Linked DNA regions of Saccharomyces cerevisiae S288C. The protein of the gene in region 1 purifies or fractionates together with the protein of each later gene. This does not show direct contact. Each region holds a gene or a part of one and is shown in the gene's direction. Other genes may lie near its edges. The genes, in order: ECM22 and YLR419W.

The links.
Region 2: the proteins of ECM22 (region 1) and YLR419W purify together in Saccharomyces cerevisiae (affinity purification with mass spectrometry, with the first as the bait; one large-scale study listed by BioGRID). This does not show direct contact.

What each region holds. Positions count from the first base shown.
Region 1 is NC_001144.5:599,245-604,178, reverse strand, and holds ECM22 (Ecm22p), read left to right. Parts: upstream 1-1,715; coding exon 1,716-4,160; downstream 4,161-4,934.
Region 2 is NC_001144.5:956,681-963,545, forward strand, and holds YLR419W (RNA helicase), read left to right. Parts: upstream 1-1,747; coding exon 1,748-6,055; downstream 6,056-6,865. Other genes in the region: ESCRT-II subunit protein VPS36, read left to right, coding at 1-30; CDC73 (Cdc73p), read right to left, coding at 234-1,415. UniProt on the Saccharomyces cerevisiae protein: Probable ATP-binding RNA helicase.

The sequences.
Region 1 (4,934 bases):
ATATCTAAAATTAACTTATATATACACCTTCCTATCCTTTTATTATCGTTGTATTTCATTTTTTCGCTTTGCTCAGAGTTGATTCTCTTTGTTTCTTGCGCCAGGATCATCCGTCTGTTCAAGGCGGAGTAGTGCAAAAAAGTCGAGCCGTCAAGCCCCAAACGTTCAATACTTCCATGTTCTTCAACGCTAAACGCGACATTTGCGAGTCCTACCACGTCTTCTCCGTTTACGGGCAAAAACACCTCTTAACATCAAAAATTTGGCTTTCGTGCTTTTTTCTGAAATATATTCGTTGCATAGACACGGTATGCATATGAAACATTCAGGCTAGCAATCAATACTTAAACCCTTTACGGGCGTGCATGATGTATCAGGAAACCAGTTTGAGAATGTCGCCCACCAAGCTCCATGGAAAGGCGCAAACCAATTACGCGGAACACAAAAATGGGCCTTTTTTTGATCGCCTCAAAGGCCGGACCAGGTTCGTTAAACGTCTGTAGAGGTGCCGAACAATTTTTGTCTAGAATAAATTTCCATTTTTCTGGCATTTAATTCTAGGCTTTCTGGTCTCTTTGTTCTTGCAGCTAGCCCATTGGGTGCTCTTCAAAATATGTCAATATCACCTTGATTTTGAAAATGCGCCCGTAAAATTGGACTTATGCTACAAATATATTCTACAGGAAAAGATCCGCAAGGTCTGCTTTAGCGTAAAAACGACCTCCCAGTATTTTATATAACCTCAGCCATTTCACTGAATGATACATAGTAGCATATATAGCTAGGCCTAAATGTATTTTTTTTTACAACTTTTTAGATCGCTGCGTGAAGGATGAAACTTCATATGAGTACGGACGTTTGAAAGGGTAGAGTGGCGCTAGCATAGAAATGCCATTTCTCGGAGGTGTCATCATTCGAAAAGAACTCAATTTTCAAGCGATTGAGATTCAAAGGCAAACCGATGCCTCCTCATTGGTCACATCTTCATGTAAACTGTGGCTGCTTTTTTTTCTAAATACTCTATGACTACAGCTTTCCTTTGTACAAACTCAAGTTTATTTAATCGTCTTTTTTAATGTTTATGTTCAACATACCCGAAACCACTACAAGACGGAAAATACTAGAGAAACATCAACAAATGAAAAAAAAAGGCTACAATCCTCGGATGAAACTGATAAAAACGAGCACAGTATATGCCGAGTCGTAGCATTTAACGTACTAACACTACTCGCCAAATCATAAGAGCTTCATGCTGACGTGTGTATCTATATCGCTTTTACAGATCCTGCAACCGACAGAGCCGAAAACGTAATTGGTGACTCGTTCCTCGTTCTTGTCGGAAAAATTTAAACGAGCGCGTTCGATAAACTCAACGAAGGCAAGTTTGAACAATAGATGTTGGTCGTAATCATTCGTTCTTCGACTTTTATAGCCTTTTTTTTAACTTAACGAACTCGTACTATCTAATAGTTTATTTCCCCTTGTTTTTTTTTGTTACGATTGGGGAAAAGCAAGGGTTCCCTGCGTCTACGATTACATCATCTACTAACTAGTCACCGAAATCGATTATCGTCGAAGGAGAAGCAACCAAGACCTCCACTTTTCAAAGGCACAAATAACATTTCGCCTTTACATAATATAGAGGAGTTAAGTCGACGGTTTTTTTCATTTAAGGTTTATATTTCGTTTATCCATAGATCTCCATCTAACATAACATGACATCCGATGATGGGAATGCTGGACAAGAAAGAGAGAAGGATGCTGAACTGATTGAGGTTGGGGGCAAGAAAGTGAGCAAGACTTCGACAGGGAAACGGAAGTTTCATAACAAGTCCAAGACCGGTTGCGACAATTGTAAAAGAAGAAGAGTAAAATGTGATGAAGGCAAACCATTTTGCAAGAAATGTACAAACATGAAATTGGACTGTGTTTACAGCCCTATTCAGCCAAGAAGAAGAAAAGATTCTTCGTCGTCAAAATTTGCATCAGCGGTCCACGATAGGGTAGGCAAGAAAAATCTGAGTGACAATGCCATCATGTTACAACAACAACAACAGCAACTTCATCATCAACAAGAACAGCAATTTCGTCAACAACAGCAAGTTCAGTTACAGCAGCAACTGTTGCCACATGTTGGTACTGATGAACAAAGCAATTCCCCTAATAGCGTTCCTCCATCCGTATCCAATAATATGGAGAATCTTTTGTTACCGCACCTATTAGCGAGTTTAGTGAATAACACCAGTAACAGTACCAACAGCAGTGCAAATGGAGCTGAAGCGCATAATAATATAACACAAACAGCTCCCAGTTCAATGATAAACAACAACCACCCAAACATGGCCCTACCAGGGAATTCGCCATTGAGTATACCGATAACACCTAGTTTTCAATCAACGGCCATGAATTTATCAAGTAGCCTTAACGGCTTACTCTCGCCTGGTAGGCTAAATTCGGTGACGAATGGATTGCAGCAGCCACAACTTCAACAACAAAATCAGCAAATTCCACAACAACAAGGAACACAGTCCCCCTTCAGCAATATTCCCTTCGACCAGCTAGCGCAATTGAACAAGATGGGCTTGAACTTCAATATGAAGAGCTTCAATACATTATTTCCATACGGTGCTGCAAATGGAATGGCCTCTGAGTTTCAAGAGTTATTTGGCCTCGGAAAGTTTGCTACATCTAATAACAGAGCAATCAAAGTTAGCACAGCAGAGGAGGCACTCGCAAATATGCAACAGGAACAGGAGGACAAAAACAAGCAATTTACGAAGAACCCATTGGATAATACTAAGACGGATGCTGTTAATTCGGGCAATAACCCCCTTAACGGAAACGAAAATAAAGTTACTGCTTCTGATATACTATCTCATAACAAAAACTTGATAATCGACAATACCGGTCTCACAATCAGTCCCCCACACACGTTGTCCAAACCTTCCATAGATCAAAACATTGCGTCCCCTTCAACGGGAGTATCCAATGTAACCTCTACAAAGTCATTGTTATCTATACCGGACAACAGGACCGCTTTGGGAAATTCTCCTACTTTGAAGACGTCCCCAATGGGTGACCTGTTATCCAACTCGGAGGCATTGTCTCCACGTTCATCAAATTCTCACACTCAACAACAATCTTCTCCCCATTCAAACGCTTCATCAGCCTCACGACTAGTCCCTGAATTAGTCGGGCTGTCTAGAAAATCAAATTTGAATTTGATAGATCTAAAACTTTTTCATCACTATTGTACTGACGTATGGCATACCATAACCGAAGCAGGCATTTCTGGTCCTGAAGTATGGAGCACTTATATTCCGGATTTGGCTTTTCATTTTCCCTTCTTGATGCATACAATTTTGGCTTTTAGCGCCACTCATTTGTCCAGAACTGAAGCCGGCTTGGATAACTACGTGTCTAGTCATCGTTTAGAAGCGTTGAGACTGTTAAGAGAGGCTGTGCTCGAAATTTCAGATGATAACACAGATGCTTTGGTGGCTAGTGCTCTAATATTAATCCTAGATTCATTGGCAAATGCTTCAAGCAGCTCACCAACGGCATGGATTTTCCATGTTAAAGGCGCCGTAACTATACTAACTGCTGTATGGCCCCTGTCGGAGACATCCAAGTTTTATAACTTAATTTCTGTTGACTTGAGTGATTTGGGTGAAGCTGTAATCAACCAAAGTAATCATAATAATGATAATGACAATAGCAATAATGGTGATGGAAATAACAATAATACGATATCGGAACTCGTATGCTTTGACGAAAGTATAGCAGATTTATATCCCGTAGAAATTGATTCACCGTACTTGATAACTTTAGCATATTTGGACAAACTGCATCGCGAAAAAAATCAATTAGATTTTATGTTGAGAGTCTTCTCATTTCCTGCTCTTTTGGATAGGACTTTTTTAGCATTATTAATGACAGGCGACCTAGGGGCCATGAGAATAATGAGGTCTTACTATACATTATTGAGAGGTTATACCACAGAAATAAAGGACAAAGTGTGGTTCTTGGATAGCGTATCACAGGTTTTACCACAGGATGTTGATGAGTATAGTGGAGGTGGTGGTATGCATATGATGCTGGATTTCTTAGGAGGTGGGTTACCTTCTATGACCACTACAAACTTTTCAGCTTTTATGTAATTTATCAAAATATAAACTCTTTTCTTTCGATGGGTCAGTGCTACAGAATGTGAACCTCATCGATGAATAACTACATTATGTTACTTCCGAATATACTGGCCATTTTGAGGAATCCACAAAAGGAAATGGATACTTATACATAGTAGTATTATTATTTCTTCTTTCGTTTTTATATGTTGTCAAGTGATCATTAATAATAACATGAGTTGTTATGGTAACAATTTAAATGTTTACATAGTATATTGAGGTACACCCGGTATACGTTTATGTGTAAATGCACTAATCACAGGATAAAAACTTAAGCGAGCAATTCAGACAATGCTGAGCTGAGTTAAAGATATATTGATTGAACATAATGTGGTAGCTACTTATATATATGAGGAATACGGGTCACCACACTAAATACATAGTAACTACCAAAGGCACTTTTATGTTAATAATAAATAATAATGAGCAAATCTAATGCTTTCTTGAAAAATAGGTGGATTTTATGGGTGAATAATTGAATAATTGTTGGGATTCTATTGTTAAAGGCACTAATAGTGGGCATACGTTAATGTGCCAGGAGAATATAGCAACATTGAAGGGAAATGACATCTCTACAGAGCATCACTATTTTTTCTTCTTCAATTTAATTGTTGTTACTCATTATCCTATTACATTATCGATCATTGCATTTCAGCTTCCATTAAATTCGATGACTGTTCCTCAATTTTTGACGTCATCTTCTTACGCCGTATATGATAAAATAAATACTTGTACATAGGTGATTTT
Region 2 (6,865 bases), 360 kb from region 1:
AAAAACTCTTATTGGCCCTCGCATATATAAGTAATAAATGCATGGTTTGATTACCTGCTCGTAATACTACATTCTCCCAAATAAATAGTTTACATATAAACGCGCGGCTAAACTTCACTTCGTTACTTGAAATGCCAATAATAACACATAACATAGAGTACAAAATCGGAATAGAAACGCCGACTGAAGAAACACTTTCAATGGCCGAAATACCATTCTTCCGTTTATCGTATTCAACGGTATCCTCTTGAAATAAGTTCCTTTTCTAAACTATGCCAGAAATAACGCACGACTTCCACATCCTTAAATCTTTTATTTTTGTCAAGTTCGACCTTTTCTACATTCCATTGCTGCACGTGTTGTGGTACAGAATCACCGGCAAAGTGGAAATAGTAGCCTTTGCAGCGTTGAAATAATTCCTGTGGCGAATTCCACTGATAGTTATTAAACTGCCACGTATGACCAGTAGTGAAGATAGCGACAACTCTGTCCCAATATTCTGGCTTAGTAAACATCCTAGTGTTATCGACTATAATAAATCTAATTGGTCTTGATATACGTTCGAAGTTTTTCTCTATGTTAACTAATCCGTTTGGCACTGACGGTAAGTTACGAGGATTCACGTATTTTGACTCCAGCAGGAACTGTTTTATATTTGCAACAGTTAAAATTGATGACGCAGCCGAAGGAATCAAAATAATTGGATCTTTGCGAGGGCCACCTGATGAACCATTTGTTTTGGAAATACGACCGTGCGCGCCCTTATGACCGGGAGGCAATTTAGATCCTCGTAAAGATCCTTTGATCGACTGTACTAATTTTAGTTCTGCATCTTTTATTAGATAACCAAAGTTGATCGGCTTAGCACCACGCAATGCAGAGTTGTGGTCCACCAATATACGTTCATGTTTCATTGTTTCCACCACAACTGGATCGGAAACTTCACTATCATTTTCAAGAGATGCTGAAGTGGTTGATTTTACAGTCGACAATTCACCAGCCAAAGTTTTATTTTCTATATCTACTTTATCGGATGTCTCGCCTTTCTGACCGGGTGCTTTCAGATATTGGGATGATTCCGTATTGCCAGACAACCAATTTATTAAATCAGTTCTTTGTAAAAATGAAACATTAGTCAATTGTTTATTCTGACAGTCTGCTAGATAGTCTGCGGCACTTGAGTCCTTATTCATCCAACAATGAACAATTATTCGTAACTGTACCAATGAACCATCAATCTCAATTTCCGTTTCTTCATTCAATGGAAAACTATCTTGGGTACTACCATCACTGGATAGAGTTTCTACCATGGTTGCTTTCGTAATATCATCAGTAGACTGTCCCTCATTATTTTTTAGAACCAGTTTATCGCCGTTCTTTAAGTGTTCTCTCAGTCTGTCTAATGAGTTCGCCATAATTTTTTCACCAGTTTCTTGCTCAAATTATTATTCTTTTAACGCCCCGAATTAAGAAACAGCCTGTTTTGGAAACGCAATTTGAAAAAGGGTGGAATATTCGTTGAAGTACTTGTTTTAAACCTGTCCAATCGAAATTTTCATCCTTATGCTTTGAGAACAATATTGCGTTGCCGGTTAACCGTCTCGGTGTTCGATGAGTTGAAAAATTATACACTAAAAAGATACATACTATTCAAAGTTGTAAAAGAGACTCTTAGCTAAGGGAAGTATTAACAATAATCATTCACTTTATACTTTACATCGCAATTGCTTTCATTAATTTTTGATAAATGGCCAAAAAAACGAAAAATAACTCAAAAAGTTCAACTCCAGTGAATGATGTACCAACAACTGCTGGCAAAAAGAAAGCAAAAGGAAAAAAGGGACAAGAACCAGAGCCAGAAGATGACAAAAGGGCCAAGCAACAAAGTAATAGAGCAAAAGTGACATCCACAGCAAGCTGGACAGGTAAATTGCCTCATACAATCTTACACGAAACATGTCAGAAACGAAAATGGAATAAGGTAGAGTATGATATGAAGAAAATCGGTGATAAAGGTTTCATTGCAATTGCAGTTTTGTCATTCACTGACCCAAAGACAAAAGAAACATTGACTGCAAGAATGAACGATCCAACCTATGACAAAGCTTCAGGAAAAGGCCTTGTAATTCCTCAAGAAACTCCAATTGAAGCTAGACACATGGCCTCCACTATTGCGCTATATCGCATTGCATACAACACCAACCTGCACATGATGCTTCCGCCAAACCATAGAAAAACATGGTATGCCCTCGACGATTTTCGAAAAGATAACCTGAAAACAGACGAAAAGCGTATAAACAAACTATTTGATCTTGATCCCTTCAAGACAATGGTGGAAGACAGAAAGCTCAAAGCCCAACGTGAAAAAGAACAAGTGGCCCAGAATAATCAAGCACAGAAAGAACAAGTTGCACGAACCATTTTATCTAGCCATGGTGGAATTTCTTCTTCTGGAAAGGACAGGCAAGAGAGAAAAGTAGCATCTCATAAAAACTCACATAATCCTTCATTAGTGCGGTTTCCAAAAAAGGTTTGGGAAAATTCTATATTTGTTGACCTTGATGAATCGTCTAGACAACTGATAGAAACTTCATTGAAAGAGAAAATTGATTGGCAAGCTAAAAAAATTAGCCATAAAAATGAGACAATTGCTGAAAATCGGGAAGATCTCAAGGCAAAATTATTAACTCTACAATTTAGACCAAAACACGTAGAGGAAGCCATGCTTTATAAAGATCCATTGTCTTTCTTATTGTTTAACTTACCGGAAGATGATTTACCACCATTTTTTCATAAAAAGAAAGGTGATACAAAAAACAAGGTTGAAATAACAAACCTACCGTTATCAACTAGAATGATCGTTGAGCGTTTAACAGAAATTGGTGTCTCTTCAGATGAAGCCTTATTGGCTTTACAACAAAACGATATGAATGAAAATGAAGCGGCCGGGTTCTTGACGAGGGAAATTTTACCAACTTTAAATAGCAATACGAATGAACCTGTATCAGAAACTGAATCTATAGAATGTTGGAACCAAGAGCTAGAGAGCCTAGAGAGCATTTATGAGGGCTGCGTGATGGACGCCAAGGAAGATTCACACTACACGCTCAATTTAATTGAAAAACTCAAAATAAAATTGAAAGTATATAGAACCAAAAATTATCCTGCATCATTACCTGGTATTGTAGTTTCAACCTTTGATAAAAATTACAAGCTACCTGATTATATTAAGAAACAAATATTAACCAGGTTACTGCATTATCTCCAGGAAGGAAATCTAATAGGCGATATGTTAGTATATCATATTTATGAATGGTTGAAAGAGAATATATCTAAGATAATTGACAACCCTGGCCCATTAATTCCAGATTCAGATTCGAAAGGTGCAATAAACAAAAGAAACATTTCAAACGGTAAGAGAAGTATAAATAATTCTAGTTCGAGAAAATTCACAAAAACCACCATTTCTGAAGACACGCTCTCTGTCCTAAGGGAAGAGTACACAAAAAGGATCAAAAGTTCTGAATACAAAAGTATGCAGTTAGTTAGAGAACAACTGCCTGCCTGGAAGAAGCAAAAGGTTATTATAGATATCATCAATAAAAACGAAGTTGTATTGATTACTGGTGAAACAGGTTCGGGTAAATCCACTCAGGTCGTTCAGTTTATACTAGATTTCTTACAGAAGGAAAAAGGAGATTTCGGTAAGACTAAAATCGTATGTACGCAACCCAGAAGAATCTCGGCTATTGGGCTTGCTGAACGTGTTTCTGATGAACGCTGTGTAACTTGTGGGGAAGAGGTAGGTTACGTAATAAGAGGTGTCAATAAAACCAAAGCTTCCACACGTATCAAGTTCATGACCACAGGTGTTCTTGTTAGGTTGTTACAGAATGCTAGAACTATGTTAGAAAACACAATTGTTGTTATTGATGAAGTTCATGAACGTTCTATTGATACTGACTTGATAGTGACATTGATGAAAAATCTCTTACATAGAGTTCGCGGCATGAAAATTGTTTTAATGAGTGCTACTGTTAACGTTGACTTGTTCAAAAAATTCTTTCCGGGGCTAGCAACATGTCACATAGAAGGACGCACTTTCCCCATCACTGATTACTTCTTGGAAGACATTCTTAGTGACCTTGACTTCAAGATCAAGAGAGAGAAGGCTTTGTCTTATGATGATGATAGCGTTGATGAAAGAAATAATGACGACCAATATTTGAAGCCGAGAGCAGATTCTAAGTTTTTTACATCTGGGCAAATCAATTATGATTTGCTTTGTCAAGTGGTTGAATATGTACATAAACGCCTGAAAGCTGCTAATGACAACGGATCTATTATCGTTTTTTTGCCTGGTGTGGGAGAGATTAATAAGTGCTGCAATTTGCTAGCTAATAAATCAAATGAAGCAGATTTTATGGTTCTACCCTTGCACTCCGCTCTAACTCCTGAAGACCAAAAAAGGGTGTTCAAAAAATATCATGGGAAAAGGAAAGTTGTTGTATCCACAAATATTGCTGAAACATCTATTACTATAGATGACTGTGTTGCAACTATTGACACAGGCCGTGCCAAATCGATGTTCTATAATCCAAAGGATAATACTACAAAACTAATTGAGTCGTTTATTTCAAAAGCTGAAGTTAAACAACGTAGAGGTCGTGCTGGTAGAGTACGTGAAGGTTTATCTTACAAATTATTTTCTAAAAATTTATACGAAAACGACATGATATCAATGCCAATTCCAGAAATCAAAAGAATCCCGTTGGAATCCCTTTATTTATCTGTTAAGGCTATGGGTATAAAGGACGTTAAAGCGTTTTTGAGCACAGCTTTGGATGCCCCTCCTTTACCAGCTCTGCAAAAGGCAGAAAGAATATTAACAACGATAGGACTTGTTGATGAGTCCGACAAGTCACTCACACAGCTAGGTCAATTTATTAGCCTGATGCCTGTCATGGATAGTAAGCATGGTAAATTACTAATATACGGCATTCTGTTTGGCTGTACGGACATTTCTGTTTTACTTGTCTCGATACTCGGTATTGGAGTTTTGCCTTTCATCGGAGGTTTTGAAAATAGGGAAAAGATAAAAAAACTGCTATGTAAATATGAAAGTCGTGGGGATTTATTTGCAGTATTGGAAATTGTCAGAGATTACTTCAAAATCAAAGATTCGAGCATCAAAAGGAAATATTTGAGAGACAATTTACTTTCCTATAATAAAATTAATGAAATTAAGTCATCAACAGCCCAATATTATTCTATTTTGAAAGATGTAGGCTTTCTACCAATGGACTATAAAGTTGGAAGCATTTCTGATTTGAATAGGAACGAGCGAAATTTTGATATCCTAAGGGCCATTCTCACGGGTGCGTTTTATCCACACATAGCCAGGGTGCAACTACCAGATGTAAAGTATCTATCAACAAGTTCCGGTGCTGTTGAAAAAGATCCTGAAGCCAAAATGATCAAATACTGGATTCGAAGCGAAGAGTATCAGGACAAATTAGAAGAATATAAGACGAAAATTTCGCAAGAGACGCAAAAGGTTGATTTGGAAGATTTACCGTTACCTGCTACTAGGGCATTCATTCATCCAAGTTCAGTCTTATTTTCAACCAATTCAGTAAACTTGGAAGACGCTAAGTTACTCTCTGAGGTGGATGGTCCAATATCCCGTCAATCCAAAATACCAACCGTTGTAAAATACCCATTTGTTTTGTTTACCACGTCTCAAGTTACTAATAAGTTGTATTTGAGGGACTTAACCCCAACTACTACATTATCATTACTATTATTCGGAGGGGCAATCTCTTATGACATTGGAGGTACTATTCATTCACCGGGCATCGTTGTCGACAACTGGCTCCCAATTAGAACCTGGTGTAAGAATGGTGTTTTAATCAAGGAACTGAGAACACAACTTGATGAGGCCATAAGGAAAAAGTTAGAAAGTCCCGATTATGCTAAAAAATCTCAAATTGATAATTCTGGTGCTGATAAAACTCTAAAAATTGTTGAAAAAATTATAGCTTCCGAACAATAGTAATCAGTTCCTACTGTAGTCCCTGTATAATAATTATCATCTTCATTTTCGAAAAGGAATTTTTTTAACATATAGAAGTGTCAAAGTATAAAACACTAACAAAAATCTAAGAGATTATTGCGACTGCGTGTTTTTCTCTTTGCTGAATCAGGGCTAGAATCCCGTAAACTACATAGCACATTGTCTTTGCCATATTTTAAAAATTTTGTGGCGCCGTCAAAATAAAAAAAAAATACTGAAGGATGCGAGGTTCGAACTCGCGCGGACAACCGTCCAACAGATCTTAAGTCTGCCGCCTTAGACCACTCGGCCAACCCTCCGTCGATAATACAACAACAAGGAAATACAGGATACGAACACCATCCAGTTTAACTTGATTAATCTTTACGCATGCATATTGCTACATCTTTTTTATTCTGCAATATACATCTGTTTATATCTCATTAATGTTGGTAAGCCTCTGAAAAATTTATCAAATACTAGTACAATTGTTTACCAACATCATTTTCGTTGCTAGAAAATTACTATACACCGTTAAGAAAAGACATAAATCATGAGACTAATAGAACAACACTAGGGATTAGCCAATTTAATGGGAGCTGAAATGCAGGGATTAATTATGCAATTACAAAATGAATGGTATCGTTTGAAATGAAAGAAGAAACACTAATATTATAACATAGAAATATCGATTTCTTCCTGCGAATTCCCATGTCCTCGTTGAGAACTTCTAATATGTTTTGTATGCCTAATATTATAGCTTTACAAAAAAATAGAATCTCAACAATTATCCCACAATTCACTCATGTC